5 linked regions of the Ovis aries genome follow. The protein of the gene in region 3 purifies or fractionates together with the protein of the main gene of each other region. This does not show direct contact. Links are inferred from orthologs where the notes say so. Each region holds a gene or a part of one and is shown on either strand. Other genes may lie near its edges.

Region 1 (3,515 bases), on a different chromosome or scaffold from region 3:
TTAGAGCAGCCTTATTTCTGTAAAAATTCATGGTCTATCTTTCTTCAGATGCCAAGGATCCTCCCTTATAAATCCTAACTTTTTCCCTTGAATTCTACTTATAGAATGTAAATCATTGCGGTCATAAATGTCTGGGCATTCATTGGTTTTTCGGCTTCTGGAGGTCTCTCAGGTTCAGAGGAGTAAGCTTGAGGCTAGAGAGAGTTGCCTGAAGCCTGGCTCCTGTAGAGACTTGGTGCCCCTGCTCTGGAGTGAGCCTCCTGCACCGTTCATCACTCCTCTTATAGTCTGTCGGTCTTTTCTCAGTATGTGAGGACTCCAGCTGCAGTGTGGCTCCATTTTGCCACTTTAGATTTGTCCTGCTGTCCCCAGTCTGACAGGTGACAATTGGGCAGTCAAATGTGCTTCACTTGTTCTGTGAGTTACCTTAAGACATAGTGAAAGATACATTCATCTGAACTGGATTATCCAGGAACTGCCTGATACGTTGCTGAATAACAGAACAAGGCAAGGCTCTATATGGGACGTTGTCATAGGAGCAGCTTATATAATGGTTACCTTGTACTTGTTCACTTTTAGAGGGAGAGGGGGCTTTTGGTGAACACAGGCTTCTGGCCATTGTTTTTTTTCTCCCTCTGTTGCCACTCCCACAGATTTGTAACTACTTTCCAGGAGTGGATGACAACTCTAGAATTTGTTGGGGCTTCCCTGGTAATTCAGTGGTTAGGATGCTGAGCTTCCATTGTGGCAAGGGACAGGTTTGATCCCTGGTCAGGGAACTAAGGTCTCATATGCCTCACAGTGTGGCCACAAAAAAACCCAGAATTTTCTTATGTTGAATATACTGTTTGCATTTGATTTTTCTTTTAACTTTTTGACAAAATTTCAGACTACTGAAAAATTGCAAAAATTCCCATGTATCTTTCATGCAGATTTCTTAAATATCCTTTTCTCTCTTTTATTTATATATACACACTTGTTATACATACAGATATGTATGTATGTGCTGATATATATTTCTTTTACTTAAGTGCTTGAAAGAATATCCCTAATTTCCTATATTTCCTAAAAACAAAAGCAATTTCTTACATAACTCAATGCCATGATCAGAAATCAAAAGTTAATATTGATGCATCTACAACCTCTGTTCTCATTTGCCAGTTGTCCTTGTAATGTTCTTTATAGCAAAGGAAAATCGCAGATCATGCGTTACATTCAGTTGTCATATTTTTTTTAATCTGGAGTACTTGTTTAGTCTGTGTGTTTCATGACATAAACATTTTTAAAGCTTGTAGACTACTTATTTTGTAGTATGTCCTTCTCTGGCTGTTTTCTGACCAAGTTTGTACTTGATGTTTGAGTGCCTCACTTTTCCAAAGTATTGAGTTCTGTAATTATGAAAAAGGGAAGTAGTAAAATTCCTAAGTGGAATGGAGAAAGAACCACAGTAGCCAGATCTGTTCTACTGAGAATGCTGACAGTGGAATGGGCGCGATTGTGGCAGCTGGCTTGGAAGAATGCAGCCAGACTCCAGCCTCTCAGTTGAGCGCCCTCCTACAGGTGATGCAGGTGCTCTGTGTTTTACAGTTCCTCTCTGGTTTGTGTTCAAAGCTGTAGCTTGGTGACCAGCAAGAGATGCTGGTTCCTCTGGCTTGTGTGTATCTTGTGTTTCACCCACCCCACTGCCACCGCCACCACGTGGACACGGTCTTTTCCATCTTTTCCATCACGGCTAACCCACGGGGCCGTCTTTGTCTTTGCCTGCGCTGCTGTAACAGTGTCTTGCTGGGGCAGTACTCCTTTTCCTAAGTTACAGTCCTCCCATGGCCACACTTGGGGAATGAAGGCACGGTGGCGAAGATTGAGGCCTGCAGATTTGAATCCTGCCCCTGCTCTTGACTGCTAGCTGTATGATCTTGGGCAAATAGCTCAACTTGGCTGAGTCTTCTACATAGGAATTTTGTGAGAATGAAACATGAAAATAATGGACATAACATCTATTGACTGCTTCCTGTATACTAGTTGCTGTTTAAGTACTTTATAAAGCATAATTGATTGTGATAATGCTTTTTTTTCTAGAGCTGCTTTAATTATTCTTCAGACTCTTTAGCCTATTCATGACAAGAAATAACATGCATAATGCTGACATTTTTGATTAAGGTTTCCGGTTTGCCTATCCAACAGATTGAAAGGTTAGTGGGTAGCAGGGGTTTTCAGTCACTGCTGTGTCAGAGATTGGTCTTTTCCTTTGCTGATCCATCATCTCTTCCTTTAGGAATGGGGTCTGTTGGGAAGTTTTACTGGCTCTGAGCTGATTTCAGAGTCTAGATATTAAGGAAATGGGAGTGGTGACAGGAAACGGGAGCCAGCAGCTGGGAAACAAGTTTGTAACTTGATGTCAGTGAACTGGTCTTCACTCCTAGAAGACAAAATTACATGCGACCCGTTGGAAGAGCAGGTGTCTTAGCAGTTTGTTTCCGTTTTTCCATTTATGAGTGCATGATAGACAGCTGTTAAGAGCTATAACGCTTTCCATTGGGCAGTTAACTAGTAAACATTTTATTTTTAAAGTATGACATAGGCATTCAAAATTTCATGTGTCCTAAATGTAACTACTTAAAAGATTTGACATGTAAGCTGTATGAGTCTGTGAATTATTTCATGTAATCTTAAAAATTCTTATGGGCAGGCTCCTCTTAAACCTCATTTTATTCCCCCATCTCTTCTAGTTTAGACATGCCCTTGTGCAAGATAGTGCAATAGCCATTTGATAGAAACAGTGTTTTAAAGTTTTATTTGTTAACTTCAAAAGGAGTCTTACTTCTCATTACTCTTGTATATTTAAGCCAGTGAAGAAAAAGAAGATAAAACGAGAGGTTAAGATTCTGGAGAACCTTCGTGGTGGAACAAATATCATTAAGCTGATTGACACTGTGAAGGACCCTGTGGTAGGTGCCTAGCTGTTGAAGGGGAGAGGTGGGGGGGTGGTGTGTGTGTGTGTGTATGAGAGACAGAGAACCTGAAAATAATGGGAAACATTGTTATAATATGCTGGGAATGATTGTGTTTGTCTTTACTACTAAAGGATTTGAAAACCAGAAAAAATCATGGTGGCCCAGTGATAAACTACCTACTACCACTTTTATGGAACCTTAAAGTATTTGTAGAAAAAAAATCCCTTTCCCAGTTTTATAGCCTCATTATTTTGATTCAGTCCACAAACGTTTGCTTCAAAGCTCCCTTATGCTCCTGCTTTTCTCCCAACTTAGAAAGCTTATTACTGCCAATTAACATTATTTTACCTCACTTAAGTAAGCCTGACATTTGAAAATCTGGGTTTACAGAAGGAGATAGGAAGTGTGGCCATGTGGACACTTCCTGTGGAGAACTGAACAGATCACAGACCCCTTGAGGTCACTATCTTGCTGTTTCTCATACTGGTCTTTAATTCCGCATCCACCATTAGGGCTCACATGGTATATGCAGATGCAGTTTAAATATTTTTATTAAAATGC
Region 2 (4,123 bases), on a different chromosome or scaffold from region 3:
TCAAGTAAATCAGTCATAGCATTAATATGTTCCAATATATTTTGGAAACTTCTATTTAATGTGGCATTTATAATGCTTTAACATTCTCATGTAACAGATTAATTTTGCAATTCCATTTTAAAACATGAGATGGAGTAACTGATCCAATTCCATTTTAAAAACATGAGATGGAGTCTGAACTCACGATTGTAAGTGGATACAGGCAACAAAATGTAAGCACACATGTAAGCAATATTAAGACTATGATATTAAGATTTATGATTAAAATTTAATCTACTAGATTTTAAGAGCTCAGTACTTGAATCTTGTCAAATAACTGAACTGCTTTAGAAAATACCTTGAATTTATAAATGCACGCTAGTTGTGGGAATTTTAAGTTGTAAAAACCCCCTTAAGATGATTTATTTTTAATTTACCAACATATACCATTTTGGGGTAACCAGGTTTTGGACTTGTAACTCAGACATTATTAAAGCAAAAGTATCAATAATTTCAAAACAGTCTCCTGAGTGCCTTAAAGCTGCCCAGAGGACACGACAGCAGCTCCCGTTCACTTGGAACTAACAGGGTACTAAGTTGGGCAGTGCACCAGGGCGAGTGACACTTGGCCCCGCAGAAGGAAGGTTCTGCCGAAGCAGGGAACAATAAACCGAACCGGAAAAAGATGGGAATCATCTTTCTTTCCTACTTCAGCGCCTGAAGCCTTTATTTTTAAAAATAAAACTGAAAAGCACCAAGTCAGCAATGGGAATCACGACTTCAAAGTCCGCGCCAGCGCCTCAGGCCCAGCTTCCGCCCCAGTGATGAGGAAAGCCAGCGCAGAACCCTGGCCCGGCAGAGGGTAGACCCCTATTGCTGGGTGGGGACGCAGCGGGTCCTGGTATCCTGGGGACGTGGGGCGGGGCCTAGGTCCTGAGATGCCTAGCGCTGCGGAGACTGGGCTCCGCAACAGTTTCTGCTCTGAAGTGTGGCCGCGATCAGTGCGGGGGCCTCCAGCCCGGATCCCACCAAGCTCTGCTGCCTGTAATTTACAGGATGAAAACAAGAGTGAATGAACCAGAAAAGCGCGCCTTTCCAAACCGTTTTGCAGCCTGCAGGGTCCGTTCCGGCCGGCGCGTACCAAGCAACCACGCCGCAGCCGAGACCGGAAAAGGCCGACTTGCAGGCGCTCGCGCCCCTGTCCCCGCCTGCGGGCCGTACCACCCCGGGCGACCCCTCCCGAGGAAAGGGATGGTACCGTCCCCGGCCTCCGATTGGCCGACGAGGCGGGGGCGTGGCCTCTGGAGCCCGGTTCCGCGCGCCAGAGCGCGCTCGCCACAGTGCGAGCCGGACTAGGAGCGAGCGCCATGGTGAGGAGTGGTTGTAGGTTGCGGGCGAGGTGGAGGCCGTGGTTTAGGCCTGGGTTTGGGCTGGAGCGTGGGCCGGGACCAGGGCCTTCCCCGGGGACGGGGCTGGGCAAACGTGAGATAAGCGCTTACTCTGGTGTCCCGGCTCCCTTTTCAGGTGCTGCTGCACGTGCTTTTCGAGCACGCGGTCGGCTACGCGCTTCTGGCGCTGAAGGAGGTGGAGGAGATCAGCCTTCTGCTGCCGCAGGTGGGTGGACATGGTGGGCTAGCCAGCGGCTCCGCAGCCCCTCGGGCCGCGCGGGCCCCAGCATGCACCGCGTGCTCCCACGTGGCCGGCCGCGCGTTGGGAGGTGCGCTGGGCCTGACAGTTCCAAAGTAGGTGGTCCTTACTTGCATTCGTGATTAGAATTGCGTTAGAAGCATTAAAAAGTAAGCTTCCCAGATTCCACCCCATACCAATGAAGCGGAACCGGGATTTGGGACCCATGATCTGTCCATTTTTAGTGTTCGGTTGGTCCTAAGAGTGCTTTCAGGTCCAAGAGCTGCTGCTGCTTTACTGCCCCCTAGAGGCAAGAGGGAGGGAAGAATATCACCTTTCTCCCCCCAGGTGGAGGAGTGCGTGCTGAACCTTGGCAAATTCCACAACATCGTTCGTCTTGTGGCCTTTTGTCCCTTTTCCTCGTCCCAAGTTGCCTTGGAAAATGCCAACGCTGTGTCTGAAGGTGAGTTGGCCACTAAATATTGTAGAGAGATGAGCCTAGATGTAGTTCTTGCTACTGTTAACCCTTTAACAACCTAGGATGTACGCTTTATTTCTTGTAGGCACTGTAGTAATGATTTTTAAGTGAAATCAGGCTGGGGTTGAGGGGCTGGTATAATGGTAGATCCAATCAAATGTGGTTCTCTGCTAGTTTGTTCAGTTGATTGCAAAGGGCAATTTTGATGCCAAAAGCCTGGAGGAAGTTTTAGTCCCAGAAGGCAGATCTGGTACTAAATACATCCATTGTGCTCCAGGGTGTGTTTCAAGCTTTCAATAATATATTTTACACTTAGGTTATGGGGCCTGAGTTCTGTTCTCCTATGGTTGATGCTGGCTTTGCAGTGATGACTTGAGTCTGTCAATCCCCTGAGTGAGTGTAATCACTGATGTCTCCATGTCTCTGAGCAAAGCCTCTGAGTAAGAGGAGGGCTCTAGGCACAGGCCATCTTAGCATACTCTGTAAGATCAGTCTCACTGATCAGCAGTTGAGGTGACAAGATCTCTTTTTACGATTTAAACGTCCTTCAGCATGTTAGTGGGAGCTCTGTTCTTTGCCTTGAGGTGTTGTTCATGAGGACCTCCGCCTGCTCTTGGAGACTCACCTGCCACCCAAAAAGAAGAAAGTACTTCTGGGGGTTGGGGACCCCAAGATAGGTGCGGCTATACAAGAGGAGTTAGGGTACAACTGCCAGACTGGAGGTGTCATAGCCGAGATCCTTCGAGGTGAGACAGTTTTGAAATCTGGAGCTGGTGAGGGGGCGGTGGTTCTGGAAACCTAGCGGGTTGCTTTTTAGAAGCCCTCCTGCTTGTCTGGTACCTATGCATGCAGGTACTAGCTCAGAGCCTTTCCTTACTCACAGTCTCACCCTCTTCTAGGAGTTCGTCTGCACTTCCACAACCTGGTGAAAGGTCTGACCGATTTGTCTGCTTGTAAAGCCCAACTGGGGCTGGGACACAGCTATTCTCGTGCCAAAGTTAAGTTTAATGTGAACCGAGTGGACAATATGATTATCCAGTCCATTAGCCTCCTGGACCAGCTGGATAAGGATATCAATACCTTCTCCATGCGTGTCAGGTAAAGTGCAGGGGTGACCTGAGAAACAAGGTCTTGGGTCTGTGGGTTAGCTAATTTTGAATCCTGAAATCAGGACTGGTAGAGCTGGGCCTCCTGATGCTTACCACAGGCTGTGTTCTTACACTGACTGTATAGAAAGAGGAGGCAGAGTAAACCCACCCCATATACACCTCAGCCCAGGCAGGCCCTTTACCTGGTCTGTATTGTGAATGGGGAGACATGGAGGTTTTGGGATCTGATTTGTTCCGATTTCCTCCAGGGATAAAGTAGATGTGGAGAGGGCTGAGTGTAGCTTTGAAGCATGGCAACTGGGCCAGGGAGTGATTGTGTTCTTTGCAGGGAGTGGTATGGGTATCACTTTCCTGAGCTGGTAAAGATCATCAATGACAATGCTACGTACTGCCGCCTTGCTCAGTTCATTGGAAACCGGAAGGAGCTTAATGAAGAAAAGTTGGAGAAGCTGGAGGAGCTGACAATGGATGCAGCCAAGGCTAAGGCTATTTTGGATGCCTCGCGGTCTTCCATGGGTCAGTACAGAGGCTAGCAGTGAAAATAAGGTATGGGGCTCTGAATATTGGGCTTCTGCATTCATACTTGATGTTCTTTAGGCATGGACATATCAGCCATTGACTTGATAAACATCGAGAGCTTCTCCAGTCGTGTGGTGTCTTTGTCAGAGTACCGCCAAAGTCTGCACACTTACCTGCGATCCAAGATGAGCCAAGTAGCGCCCAGCCTGTCTGCCCTAATTGGGGAAGCGGTGCGTCATGGGAAACCAAAAGATGGGGGATTATGGGATTACCATCTATAGTCATCATATTGTTGTTGTATTTCATGACCTATCATATCTTCCCCGGTTGAACTTGATGGGGAGGAGGTTGAAGCACGTTATGCAGTTGGTACATTGGCAATTCCAGCTTCTTTGACTCCTTGACTCTTTCT
Region 3 (3,515 bases):
GAAAACCAGGCACCTCCAGCTAAGAAAGCTGGTAAGGCCTAGCAGGGAGTTGTGGTTCCAGGAAGAGGATTTGTAGTCTCCCAGTACTAAATGGCTGATTCTTACTGAGACCCGTATTTTTGTTCAGCTGTACCTGCCAAGCAGGCCAGTCTGCTTCAGCATCCTGGAAAGGCTGCAGTCAAAGCATCCGAGAGCAGCAGCAGCAGCAGTGAAGAATCCAGTGATGATGAGGAGGAAGAAGACAGAAAGAAAAAGCCTGTTGAGGTGCAGCTTTGGGGAGGAAAGGAATTGCTTAAGGGATTGGAAAGAAGAAGTCCAAAATCTTGGCTTTTAGCCTGGTGGTGCTGGTTATAAACAACAGATTATTACGAGGTCTTTCAGAGAGGTTGTAAAAATATGAGGTTTGGAAAGGATTTTGTAGGGTGAAAGTTGAACCCTGAATGTAGAGGAAATTCAGTCCATTCTGCAACCCTGACAGTATTGGGTTTCTCTGGGACACCGTCAAGGACTCCAAGAGTAAAAGATGTTTTGTGGACAGGTGCAGGGAGCTCTAAACAGGGAATGTCAGGAACAAGGCCTAAAAAAGGGAGCTTGCTTTTGTACCTTAAGATGTCCTTTGGGTGCCCTAAAACTCTTGCTGATTCCCCTGGCTTTTCTTACAGAAGGGAGTTAAGCCACAGGCCAAGACAGTCAAAGCTCCTCCTAAGAAGGCCGAGAGCTCTGATTCCGATTCTGACTCAAGCTCAGAGGACGAGGCACCAAAGAACCAGAAGCCAAAGACAACACCTGTGGCAGTGAAAACTCAGGCTAAAGCCCCAGCCAAACCAGGTATCGTTTTTGTTCCCAAGAGGCTAGGCTGGGGACCAGGTTGCTCTGGGGACTGGTGTGAAAATTCCTCATTCACCACAGGGATGAAATGGCACTGGTTATTGAACTAGGGGTATGGACTGGTGTCTTTTTTTTTTAAATTAGGGACTAGTAACTACAGAAATGGCTTGCCTGGTGGCCCAGACAGTAAAGAATCTGCCTGCAATACAGGAGACCCAGGTTCGATACCTGGGTCATGAAGATCCACTGGAGAAGAGAATAACTACTGCCTCCAGTAGACTTGCCTGAAGAATCCCCATGGATAGAGGAGCCTGGCGGGCTATAGTCCATGGGGTTGCAAAGAGTCAGACAAGTCTGAGCAGCAACTAACACTTTCACTTTTTTCAACTATAGAAATAGTGGGCAATGAGGGAAAACATGTTTAAAAGACTTCAGAGGGCATATTCAAATGATTTGCGTCATAAAATTTTTTGGAAGACAGGTTTATTTCTGAACTTGGGCAGGAAATTTATCCTTTGATAATACCACGGTAAACCACAGCCTTCTCCTTTATGCTTGCTGCAAAGGCAAGAGAATTGACAGTGAAGAGCCTAAGCTACTCTATCTTGTAAAAGAGCTCCATTTTGCAAAGGTACCGGGCAAACAGACTTAGACTTTGGATATTGCCTAAACTTGCCCCACTGTGCGCGAGCCAGTCAGCCCTTGGATTAGACCTCCTGACTTTAAGTTCAAGAATTTGTGATTTACCTTGGAAGTAATGAGTTACATTTGTGATTTACCTTGGAAGTAATGATTTACCGTGGAAATGGGAACCAATCAGAACCCAACACCTAACCCTTCCACAGAAGGTAACCAATTAGAGGTCTCCCAACCTGGAAACTCCCGTTTTTCGAATTTTTCGCGCGAGAATACCCTATATAAGCAATATAACCCAGAGTTCAGGGCTCCTCTCCTAAGCCACTGCATCGGTAACGGTGGGAGCCCCAGCTCGAGCTTGGTAATAAAAACTCTCTTGCTTTTCCATCAGATATCAGCTCCCTGGTGGTCATTGGGAGATTTTGAGACTTGGGCATAACAACAGACTCCTAAGTACCAAGCTAATAGGAGGAGGCTTTAAGAAATATTTATTTATTTGGCTGCACCATATCTTAGTTGGTGCATGTGGGATCTAGTTCCCTGACCAGGGATCAGACCCCCAGCTCCCTACATTGGGAGCATGGAATCTTAGCCACTGGACCACCAGGGAAGTCCCAGTTCATGTCTGTTTAAAAAATATTTTTCTTTCTTTATTTCCGGGTGTACTAGGTCCTTGCTGTGTATGGGCTTTCTGCAGTTGAGGTGAATGGAGGCTGCTCCCTTGTGGTGGTGTGCAGGCTTCTTACGCTGGTGGCTTCTCTTGTTGCAGAGCACAGGCTGTAGAGTGTTGGGGCTTTAGTTGTGGCTCCCGGGATTAGTTGTCCCAGGGGATATGAGATCTTCCCAGAACAGGGATTGAACCTGTGTCTCCTGCATTGGTAGGTGGGTTTTTGTTTGTTTGTTTGTTTTTTTACCACAGAGCCATGAAGGAAGGCTGGCAGGTGTATTCTTAGCCACTGGACCACCAGGGAAATCCAGCTCATGTCTGTTTTCAACATACCTGTCTTACAGTTTGTTGAAACAATACATATGTATGTCGGAGTGGTTGGCTGTAAAAACTTGAGCCCAGCTATCATCTGAAGGGTATTCACACCCACCTTATGGTATTTCAGACAGCCAGCTAGCTTAGTCTTCTTTCTCTTATGCTTGTTCTTGGGACTTATGTAAGAATTCTTCCTTTCTTAGTACCATCATGAAGTCCCAAAAGTAAGGTGAAATGTACACTCCTTTTGAATTTTATAGTCAAAGTACATCTGTGTTCTAGTTGCTTGCCAGCAAAGATCAATCTTTACTACTCAGGAAGAATTCTTTTTTATCCTGGATTTTGGCCCTTCATTTTCTGTTGTAGCTGAGGGTTTGACTTCAAGAGTGATGGTCATTCCCCTCAGGATCTTCATGAAATTCTGCATCTTGGCGGCAGTGCTGCTGAAGGTGGCGGGTCCGAAAACTGTCTTTATACTCATGTTATTTCTATTTTCTTAGGTACATCACCTCGGCCAGCACCTAAAGTCGCCAATGGCAAAGCAGCTAGTAGCAGCAGCGGCAGCAGCAGCAGCAGTGATGATGACTCAGAGGAGGAAAAGGCAGTAGCCATCTCTAAGAAGGTATAGGCCTTAATTTCTACCAGGGAAGAGGGGACAAGAGGGTGGAAGTCCTCCATTTCCTGGCAGGATTGGTTGGGTCAATATTTTCCTGTGGTAATTGATTTTCTCTGTGTGATGCAGACCATACCTAAAAAGCAAGTTGTGGCTAAGGCCCCAGTGAAAATGGTTGCTGCACCTGCCCAAAAGAGTTCCAGCAGTGAGGACTCCTCCAGTGAGGAGGAGGAAGAGGAGCAGAAGAAAAAGCCCATGAAGAAAAAACCAGGTGACTGGACACGGGGAGTCAAGCTACCACTGACGAGGGCCCAAAGGCAGGAGGACCTCTGCAGTCACCACGTGGACCTTGGCCTGACAGCTGGCCTGTCCCAGAGAAAGGAGAAAGCCAAATGGCATGCCATCGTCCCTGCCCTAGTCTGTTAGGAGTGAGTCACTAATCTGAGCCCATCCTCA
Region 4 (3,515 bases), on a different chromosome or scaffold from region 3:
GGTTGCAAAGTCCATCCCAGGAGGGGCTGAACTGAAGAGCTGAGATCCAGCTTATATAATAAAACTTGGCCATCTGCCTTTTCACAAGTATGGGACACAGACAGAAAGGAGGAAGAGATCCCCTTGCCCTGCTAATCAATACATCTGCTTGGATATGAGGCAAACTTCAGGACATCCAAAGAGGGTGTGAAGTAGTACCGTGTCTATCGCAAGCTCTCCTCCCCTCCCCCTGCCACGCCTCAGCAAATACAAGCAAATACAATACCTTCTGTAATACTTGGTCCCTAGGGCCAAGCGGCTCATGCTAACTACAGCCACAGCTTGACATCAGGCAACCCTTCACCCTGGCCCAGTCTAGGGACCTTAGAAGGGCCCTTCTTCGGCCTGGAGTGGGTGTAGGGTGGTGGTGCTAGGTGCTGTCTATTGCCCCACCACCCCTCGGGTTCAGTGATCCTCACTGGTGGCAGACAGACCAGAATCAGTGGTTCTGGCTCCACCCACCAGACCAGAAACTCTAATGCTCACAAATTCTTGGAGGCAGAGCTGGGAGGGCCCCTTGTGATCATCTGCTCGAACCCCTTGGTTTTCTAGGTGAAGTACTGAGGCCCAGAGACGGAAAGGAACTTGCCCAAAGTCACACAGCAGTGAGCATCAAAGGTCAGAGAAAAACAGTTAACTTTTAACACTTTCTGCCTCATCGTCTGCCTGCCCCGTTGCCCTGGAAGTATGCCCCATGTCCTAATCACACCAACATCAGCCCATGGGTACTGTACACCCATGACAGTGGGAATCACTGTGTGTGTGTGTGTGTGTGAGTGTGTGTGTATTGGCGGGGGGTGGTCATCAGCTCCCCAAGGAAACAAAAGAGTCCCTCTTCCTTTTAGGTAAGGACAACTCAGTGGACCTTGCTACCTTCTATGGAAGGACCCCCTTTGACTGTGGGCACGGTGGTCTCAGGGGCTCTCTTCCAGTCCAGCCCTGGAGACCTGCAAGGGCAGGAAGACATTGGTGGCCTCAATCGTTCTGGCCCTTCAGTCTTGCTTCCCACCAGATCGCTGATCCCTCTTAAGGAAGGGAGCTGGGCAGACTCTCATCTTCTCACCCCACCCCCATCTCATAGTCACCCTTCAGGACACCTCCTCAAGACCTTGGTGCTTTCCGAAGGCCCCTCCCTTCTCTCTGTCGCACTCTGTGCATATCTGCGGATGACACACAGGCAAGATACAGGCAGCTAGGATATTACATCCTGATGATACTGACATAGACTCGGGCTACTTCACACGACTTGCCTTAGACTAGGTAACTGCAGGTAAGAAAGTCAGCCCAACTGCTTTGCTCCATTCCTGGGGTCTACAAACCTTCACCAAGGTCACTGTCAGTCACAGAGGGACGGGGGCAGGGACGAGGGAGGAAGAAGACAGGTGTTTGGTGGGTCCGAACTTCGAGCAAAACTGTGTGGAAAATCTATCCATGGGCCTGTCCCCTCCCAACCAGAGGAGGGTGGCCTTCAAAGCGGTCATGTTTTAGCTGCCAGAACTGTATTCATCACCCGGGACAGTGGCCTCATCCTCTCACGTGTCTTGAGCCTCCATCCCCACCCCGCCAAGCCCTTGTGCCCCATCTTCCCCTTTCTGCTCCCCATCCCAAGTCAAATTCTAAGGCCAGAGCCGTGCTGGCCTGTCTAGGGGTCAACAGGAAAAGAGGAGGGATGGAGAAGTGATGCGGTGAGAGGGTGAGGGTGTTGCCTGTGGCCCAGTTGGCATGGTGATGGGGGCCAATCCTGAGGCCAGGGGTTCCCATCGTGACCTGGAAGACCGCTGGGCCCCCTGGTAGAAACTGGAAGAACAAAGGGGAGGGGGAGTCAGGACAGGAAGAAGACGAACAAGCATCCTAGCGCATGAGAGTGGACCTGGAGCTGCCCGGAGGGAGGGCGGCTCCAGTCTATCTGTCGTTGAGCCGCGGAGAGCCGGTACCATCCTCCTCTTCCTCCTTGTCATCCTTCATGCCTTTTAGTCTCTGGCGGGCAAAGTCCTCAAACACAATGTCGTCATCGCTGGTGGGAAAGACAAGGAAAACAGGCGTGTTTGCAGGGCAGGGAGAGGAGGTTTACTCAGAGGGGTCGGAGGGCCTGCACAGCCCAGCAGGACCCAGAGGCCGGCCTCTGGGACTGGTCTTGGATAGAAAGGCCTGCCAGGCCAGCACATCTGGATGCCCATCAATGACAGTGGGACCAGCCAGTTGCAGAAATACCAGAGGGAGGCCTGAGTTTGCTAAGGGCTGGAAATCGACCCAGCTCTTGAGAAGCTGGGGTTCAGGCACACATCAAATTGTGGGTGGGGGCGGGGAGTGAGGCAGGGTTAGGGCCAGAGGAGGAACTTATTTCCACAAAGAGGCCAGGCCGACAGCAGTTTCACAGCATATTCTGAGTCCCCCAAGAACACGCCCCCACCCAAGAACTACCCTCAGGAAGCATTCCTGTTTTCTGAGAAAACCCCAAAGGCCCTTTCTCCAAGGAAATGTCAGCTCACATTCTACCCTGAGGGATATTGGATACACAGGGTCTGTGGGGGCTGGGGTGGGGGCTAGGCAAAGCCCAATAAGGGTGGGGAGCAGAAAAAATATGAGTGGAGAAAGAGGGTGCCTGAGAGGGGTTCCAGAGGGGCTGCCTCTAAGAACAGTGAGCTCCCTTCTACTAATAAAACATGTCCACATGGGCCCACTCTCCAGGCCCCAGCCCCACAGAATTCAGCCAACTGCACGGGGTATCCTCCATGGGCTGACTTAAGACCCGACACATCTCCTAGAGGACAAAGGAAGCATAGATTTGGAGCTGGAGCGAGAAAGCTGCTTGGACCTGGAGGTGGTTCATGTTTGCCCAGGTCCTCCCCTCTGGCCACTGTCCTGTGAGGTGACAGCCTTTGACCACAGGGCCATCCATACTGGTCCTCACGAGTCAGAAACAAGAAGATCCCCAGAACCTTCCCCACCCCACAGCCTGATTCCACTGGCTGGACACCAGCCAAGTAGGAGGGTCCCAGCCCAGGGCCACAAACCAGCCCTGTGACAGCCGAGCAGGTGCTGTGGATGGACGAATGGACTGACGGACTGACGGACGTGCAAGGACGAGGGAGGAAGACAGACCCCACCAAGGCAGGAGGAAGAGGAACAGGCACCGAGGGTCCTTCAAGTCACATGCAGGCAAGCGGGTTGCTGAAGAGGCGAGCAGAGGCAGCTCTCAGCAGATGGGTTAGACCACTGCTCCTCGGGGTTAATTAGCATAAATGCATATAACCAGGCAGCCCCGCCCACCTCCCAAGGCCCACCCCGCCCATGTCTGCAGGCAGGGTTCTGCTTACTTGGTGTCAAGTTCTATGAGATTGGTATCTACTGGCGTCTCGTGCTCTGGAACTAAACACAGGGCAGATGACCGCCCACGGGTTACTGGCGAGTGAGTGAGGGGGCAGGTGGGCACAGGTCCTCACCCCGGGACAACTAAGCTAAGGTAGGGGAGGGAA
Region 5 (3,515 bases), on a different chromosome or scaffold from region 3:
AAATAAATTCTCAATCAATAGTATATACCTGCACAATCAAGATATAGTGGATTTCATTCCCAATTACCACAATAAAGCAAGTGTTGCAATAAACTAAGTATACGAATTCTTGTTTCCCAGTGCTTATTGAAGTTATATTCTTTTTTTTTTTTTTAAGTTATATTCTTATGGGTAATCTACTTAGTATGAAATAGCATTGTCTGGAAAAACAATGTACATACCTCAATTTATAAATGCTTTACTTTTAAAAACATGTTAAACATCATCTGAACCTTCAGGAAGTTGTAGTAGTAACATCAAAGATCACTGACCAAAGACCAACATTACAAATATAAGAATGGAAAAGTTAGAAATATTGTGGGAATCACCAAAATGCGACAGACTGTGGTGTTGGAAAAATGATGTCAATGGACTTGTTCTACACAGGGCTGACACAAACTATGAATTTAAAAAACGAAGTATCTGTGAAGCACAGTAAAATGAGGTAAACCTGATTTCATCCTCCTGTATTCATCCAATTACTCTAATTAACCAAAACAAACTTCTGACAATGGACCACCAGTGTCTCAGAAGAGGTAGTGACTAAAGATGCCTTCACTATCCGAAAGGAAATCAGGCATACAAATAAAAATCATCATTGAACACTTGGTCCTTAGTCCTCGCACATAAACATTCACTTCTTTTTATTACCCAGATTTATCTTTAAACTCCAGTTTAAAAGAAAATAAGATCCTACCTAGAAAACAACTCTCAATACCCATGTTTACAAATTATATTAAAATCATCACCTGCATGAGCAATAAGTCGTGCTCCAACTAATTCCCCAACCATGACTGTAACATTGGGTGCAATGGCCATCATTCGATTTTGCAGATATTCATAAAGCTGGGTTCTATATTCAGAGATTTCAATCACCTAGTTTAAGAAACAAAATGAGTAAATCATAAATAGTTTAAGAGTAAAAGCAGTGTAAAATTCACATGTCTAAAACATCAGAGCCCCAAATTATCACAGAGCAGTTAGTTGTACAATCCCAGGAAAATTAGCCATCCTTTACCTCAGTTTTCTATAAAACGGCTGTTGTGAAATTTTAATATTTAAAAATTAAGCAATATATGTAAACCTAATACACTGCTTAAAAATGTTAATCAACATTTGTTTAAAAAAACTCTAAAGACTAGACATTTGTGTCATCCTCTGTGATTGTCATATAGCTATCTTCAAATGAGGGGTAAAAATTACAGGCTATACACATTCAGATACTGCTAACAATAGAAATTAACTAGACAGTACTCCTTTAACCTCATTTTAAGATATTTTTCTCCCTGCAAGTTTGTAAGTCAAGACGGCATCAGATGAGGTAGTGACTGAACACCCTCATATTTATCAGGTGAACAATACATTTAAAAATCATCACTGCCATCAGAAATTACAGAGCTGGTACCACCACCACGAATTTCCCTATGTGCATAGTGTACCTGAGTGCAAAGGTGCAGAATGTTGCAAATATCTTCTTCCGAAACTTCGGTTCCCATAGATATCTCTGCTGCCGCTTTCACTTCAGCTTCAACCTCCTCTGGCAGTAATTCAGAAAGTTGAGCTGAGGCATAATTCTTCCTGTCGCCTATGGAATGTTTGCAAAGGATGAGGGAGAATCACTCTTCAGTAAATTATATAAAATCCACCAAACAGTCAAAAGAAAAAGTAGAGATAAGCCAATGAAAGGGATGCCTGAACAAAACAAAAAGTAAACAAGTTTGACCAAGTAACTTTACTCATGTAAGGGCTTGATTTTAGAGATTAACTCATTTTATGAACAGTCCTCAGGTTCCTCTACTATATTATTATTATAGTAATAGTATACAATTTAATATTGAGTATAGATAGCAATACTATTTTTAATATTAACCACTATTAATGTATTTCAGGATACTTCCCAGTCACACAGTTGTCCTTATTAACGGCAACTTCAGTGAGACACAATCATTGTAAGAAGCCAGTTCAGGGGAGTGGGGAGCAGATAAATTGGGACCAACATATACACACTATGATATATAAAACAGATTACTAGTAAGAACCTGCTACATAGGACAGAAAACTACTCAATACTCTGGAATGACCTACATGGAAAAAGTCTAAAGAGTGGAGATGTATACACAACTGATTCACTGTGCTGTACAGAAAAAAGTAACACAATGAGTGTGTGTGCTTAGTCACATCCTTTGTGACCCTATGGACTATAGCCTGCCAGGCTCCTCTGTCCATGGAATTTCCAAGGCAAGAATACTAGATTGGGTTGCCATTTCCTCCTCCAGGGTATCTTCCTTGCCCAGGGATTCAAACCAGGTCTCCTGTGTTTCTTGCACTGGCAGACAGATTCTTCACCACTAAGCCACCTATACTCCAAATTTTTTTTAAAAAAAGAAGCCCAAGGAAAACCAAATTAGAGAACGATGTCCTCTACTGTACAGGCCACTGAAATAAAATTCTGTTTCTGAAATCTAGCAGATGTTAATATGGATATACTCCTCAAACACACAAGACTAAAAACTCTGGGAAGAGAATAAAAAAACCAGTAACTCATGTTTTAGGATTTAAATAAATCACTATTTTCAATACCTTAAAGGATAAAGTTACTCACCAACTTTCTGTAAACACTTGCAGTATGTCAAATTATCCGAAATAATTTTTCCTAACTCAGGGAAATGCCAGCCATACCATTCTCTACACCGCATAATGTAGTTGTTTAGTTCTTTATCTAAGTCATCTAACAGGGCTGCAGCAGATTAAAACAAAAAAGAAAACAAGAACTTAAAAGGGTTTTAAAAAACACTTGTGATGAAATAGTCCATCATCCCAAACAGAAACTCTGTACCCATGAAATAATTACTCCTCATTCTCACCACTCCAGCCTCTCTTTTATCCCCTCTATGAATTTGCCTATTCTAAGTACCTCATAAGGGGAATCACACTGTATTTGTCTTCTTGAAAGTAGTCTATTTCACCATAGCACAGTGTTTTCAAAATTCATCTATGTTGTACCATATATTAGAACTTGTAAGGATAAATAATATTCCATTGTATACCACTTTGTTTATCCCTTCATCTGTTAATAGGTATCTGGATTGTTTCTGCCCTTTAGCTGAATCATGATGCTATGAACATAGCTGCTTAAGTAACTGACTAACTCCTTTCAGTTTGGGGGGGCATACACACCTAGAAATACAATTGCTATTTAAAGAAATGTTTAAAACTGGAAACTGTTGAGACTTTGATGTCCAAAAATCACCGAATGATTTATTACATACATAAAGCAAAAAAAACCCCACACCCGTATCTTAAGGTTTTATCATTTTTCATGGAAAAAGATCAATCAGCTTACATTAATAGTGTAGCGTAATTCCTATTATCCCCAAGTAGTCAAATTATAATTAGTTTTCCAATTTTTGATTCTGCATTTCCCAATTTACTTACTAAACTTCTAGCTGGTCTTTTTCTTCCTCAACAATCATAAA

What was found.
Region 1: the proteins of NOLC1 (region 3) and CSNK2A2 purify together in Homo sapiens (affinity purification with mass spectrometry; 5 studies listed by BioGRID and IntAct, with this or other methods). This does not show direct contact. The link is inferred for Ovis aries from reciprocal best matches to the Homo sapiens genes NOLC1 and CSNK2A2.
Region 2: the proteins of NOLC1 (region 3) and NOP56 purify together in Homo sapiens (affinity purification with mass spectrometry; 6 studies listed by BioGRID and IntAct, with this or other methods). This does not show direct contact. The link is inferred for Ovis aries from reciprocal best matches to the Homo sapiens genes NOLC1 and NOP56.
Region 4: the proteins of NOLC1 (region 3) and ARRB1 purify together in Homo sapiens (affinity purification with mass spectrometry; 4 studies listed by BioGRID and IntAct, counting the BioPlex papers as one, with this or other methods). This does not show direct contact. The link is inferred for Ovis aries from reciprocal best matches to the Homo sapiens genes NOLC1 and ARRB1.
Region 5: the proteins of NOLC1 (region 3) and NOP58 fractionate together in Homo sapiens (co-fractionation; 3 studies listed by BioGRID, with this or other methods). This does not show direct contact. The link is inferred for Ovis aries from reciprocal best matches to the Homo sapiens genes NOLC1 and NOP58.

What each region holds. Positions count from the first base shown.
Region 1 is NC_056067.1:25,628,536-25,632,050, reverse strand, and holds part of CSNK2A2 (casein kinase II subunit alpha'), read left to right. Parts: intron 1-2,846; coding exon 2,847-2,948; intron 2,949-3,515.
Region 2 is NC_056066.1:52,249,979-52,254,101, reverse strand, and holds the start of NOP56 (nucleolar protein 56), read left to right. Parts: upstream 1-1,316; 5' UTR 1,317-1,346; coding exon 1,347-1,349; intron 1,350-1,503; coding exon 1,504-1,593; intron 1,594-1,953; coding exon 1,954-2,068; intron 2,069-2,442; exon of another isoform or gene 2,443-2,514; intron 2,515-2,667; coding exon 2,668-2,829; intron 2,830-2,982; coding exon 2,983-3,181; intron 3,182-3,268; exon of another isoform or gene 3,269-3,404; intron 3,405-3,520; coding exon 3,521-3,708; intron 3,709-3,789; coding exon 3,790-3,941; intron 3,942-4,123. UniProt on the Homo sapiens protein: Involved in the early to middle stages of 60S ribosomal subunit biogenesis. Required for the biogenesis of box C/D snoRNAs such U3, U8 and U14 snoRNAs. Part of the small subunit (SSU) processome, first precursor of the small eukaryotic ribosomal subunit.
Region 3 is NC_056075.1:22,598,002-22,601,516, forward strand, and holds part of NOLC1 (nucleolar and coiled-body phosphoprotein 1), read left to right. Parts: coding exon 1-31; intron 32-127; coding exon 128-264; intron 265-662; coding exon 663-828; intron 829-2,946; coding exon 2,947-3,068; intron 3,069-3,188; coding exon 3,189-3,330; intron 3,331-3,515. UniProt on the Homo sapiens protein: Nucleolar protein that acts as a regulator of RNA polymerase I by connecting RNA polymerase I with enzymes responsible for ribosomal processing and modification.
Region 4 is NC_056068.1:53,205,176-53,208,690, forward strand, and holds part of ARRB1 (beta-arrestin-1), read right to left. Parts: intron 3,409-3,515; coding exon 3,357-3,408; intron 2,054-3,356; coding exon 1,942-2,053; 3' UTR 1-1,941. UniProt on the Homo sapiens protein: Functions in regulating agonist-mediated G-protein coupled receptor (GPCR) signaling by mediating both receptor desensitization and resensitization processes.
Region 5 is NC_056055.1:204,588,143-204,591,657, reverse strand, and holds part of NOP58 (nucleolar protein 58), read right to left. Parts: intron 2,777-3,515; coding exon 2,642-2,776; intron 1,625-2,641; coding exon 1,479-1,624; intron 1,426-1,478; exon of another isoform or gene 1,344-1,425; intron 916-1,343; coding exon 789-915; intron 646-788; exon of another isoform or gene 562-645; intron 1-561. UniProt on the Homo sapiens protein: Required for the biogenesis of box C/D snoRNAs such as U3, U8 and U14 snoRNAs. Part of the small subunit (SSU) processome, first precursor of the small eukaryotic ribosomal subunit.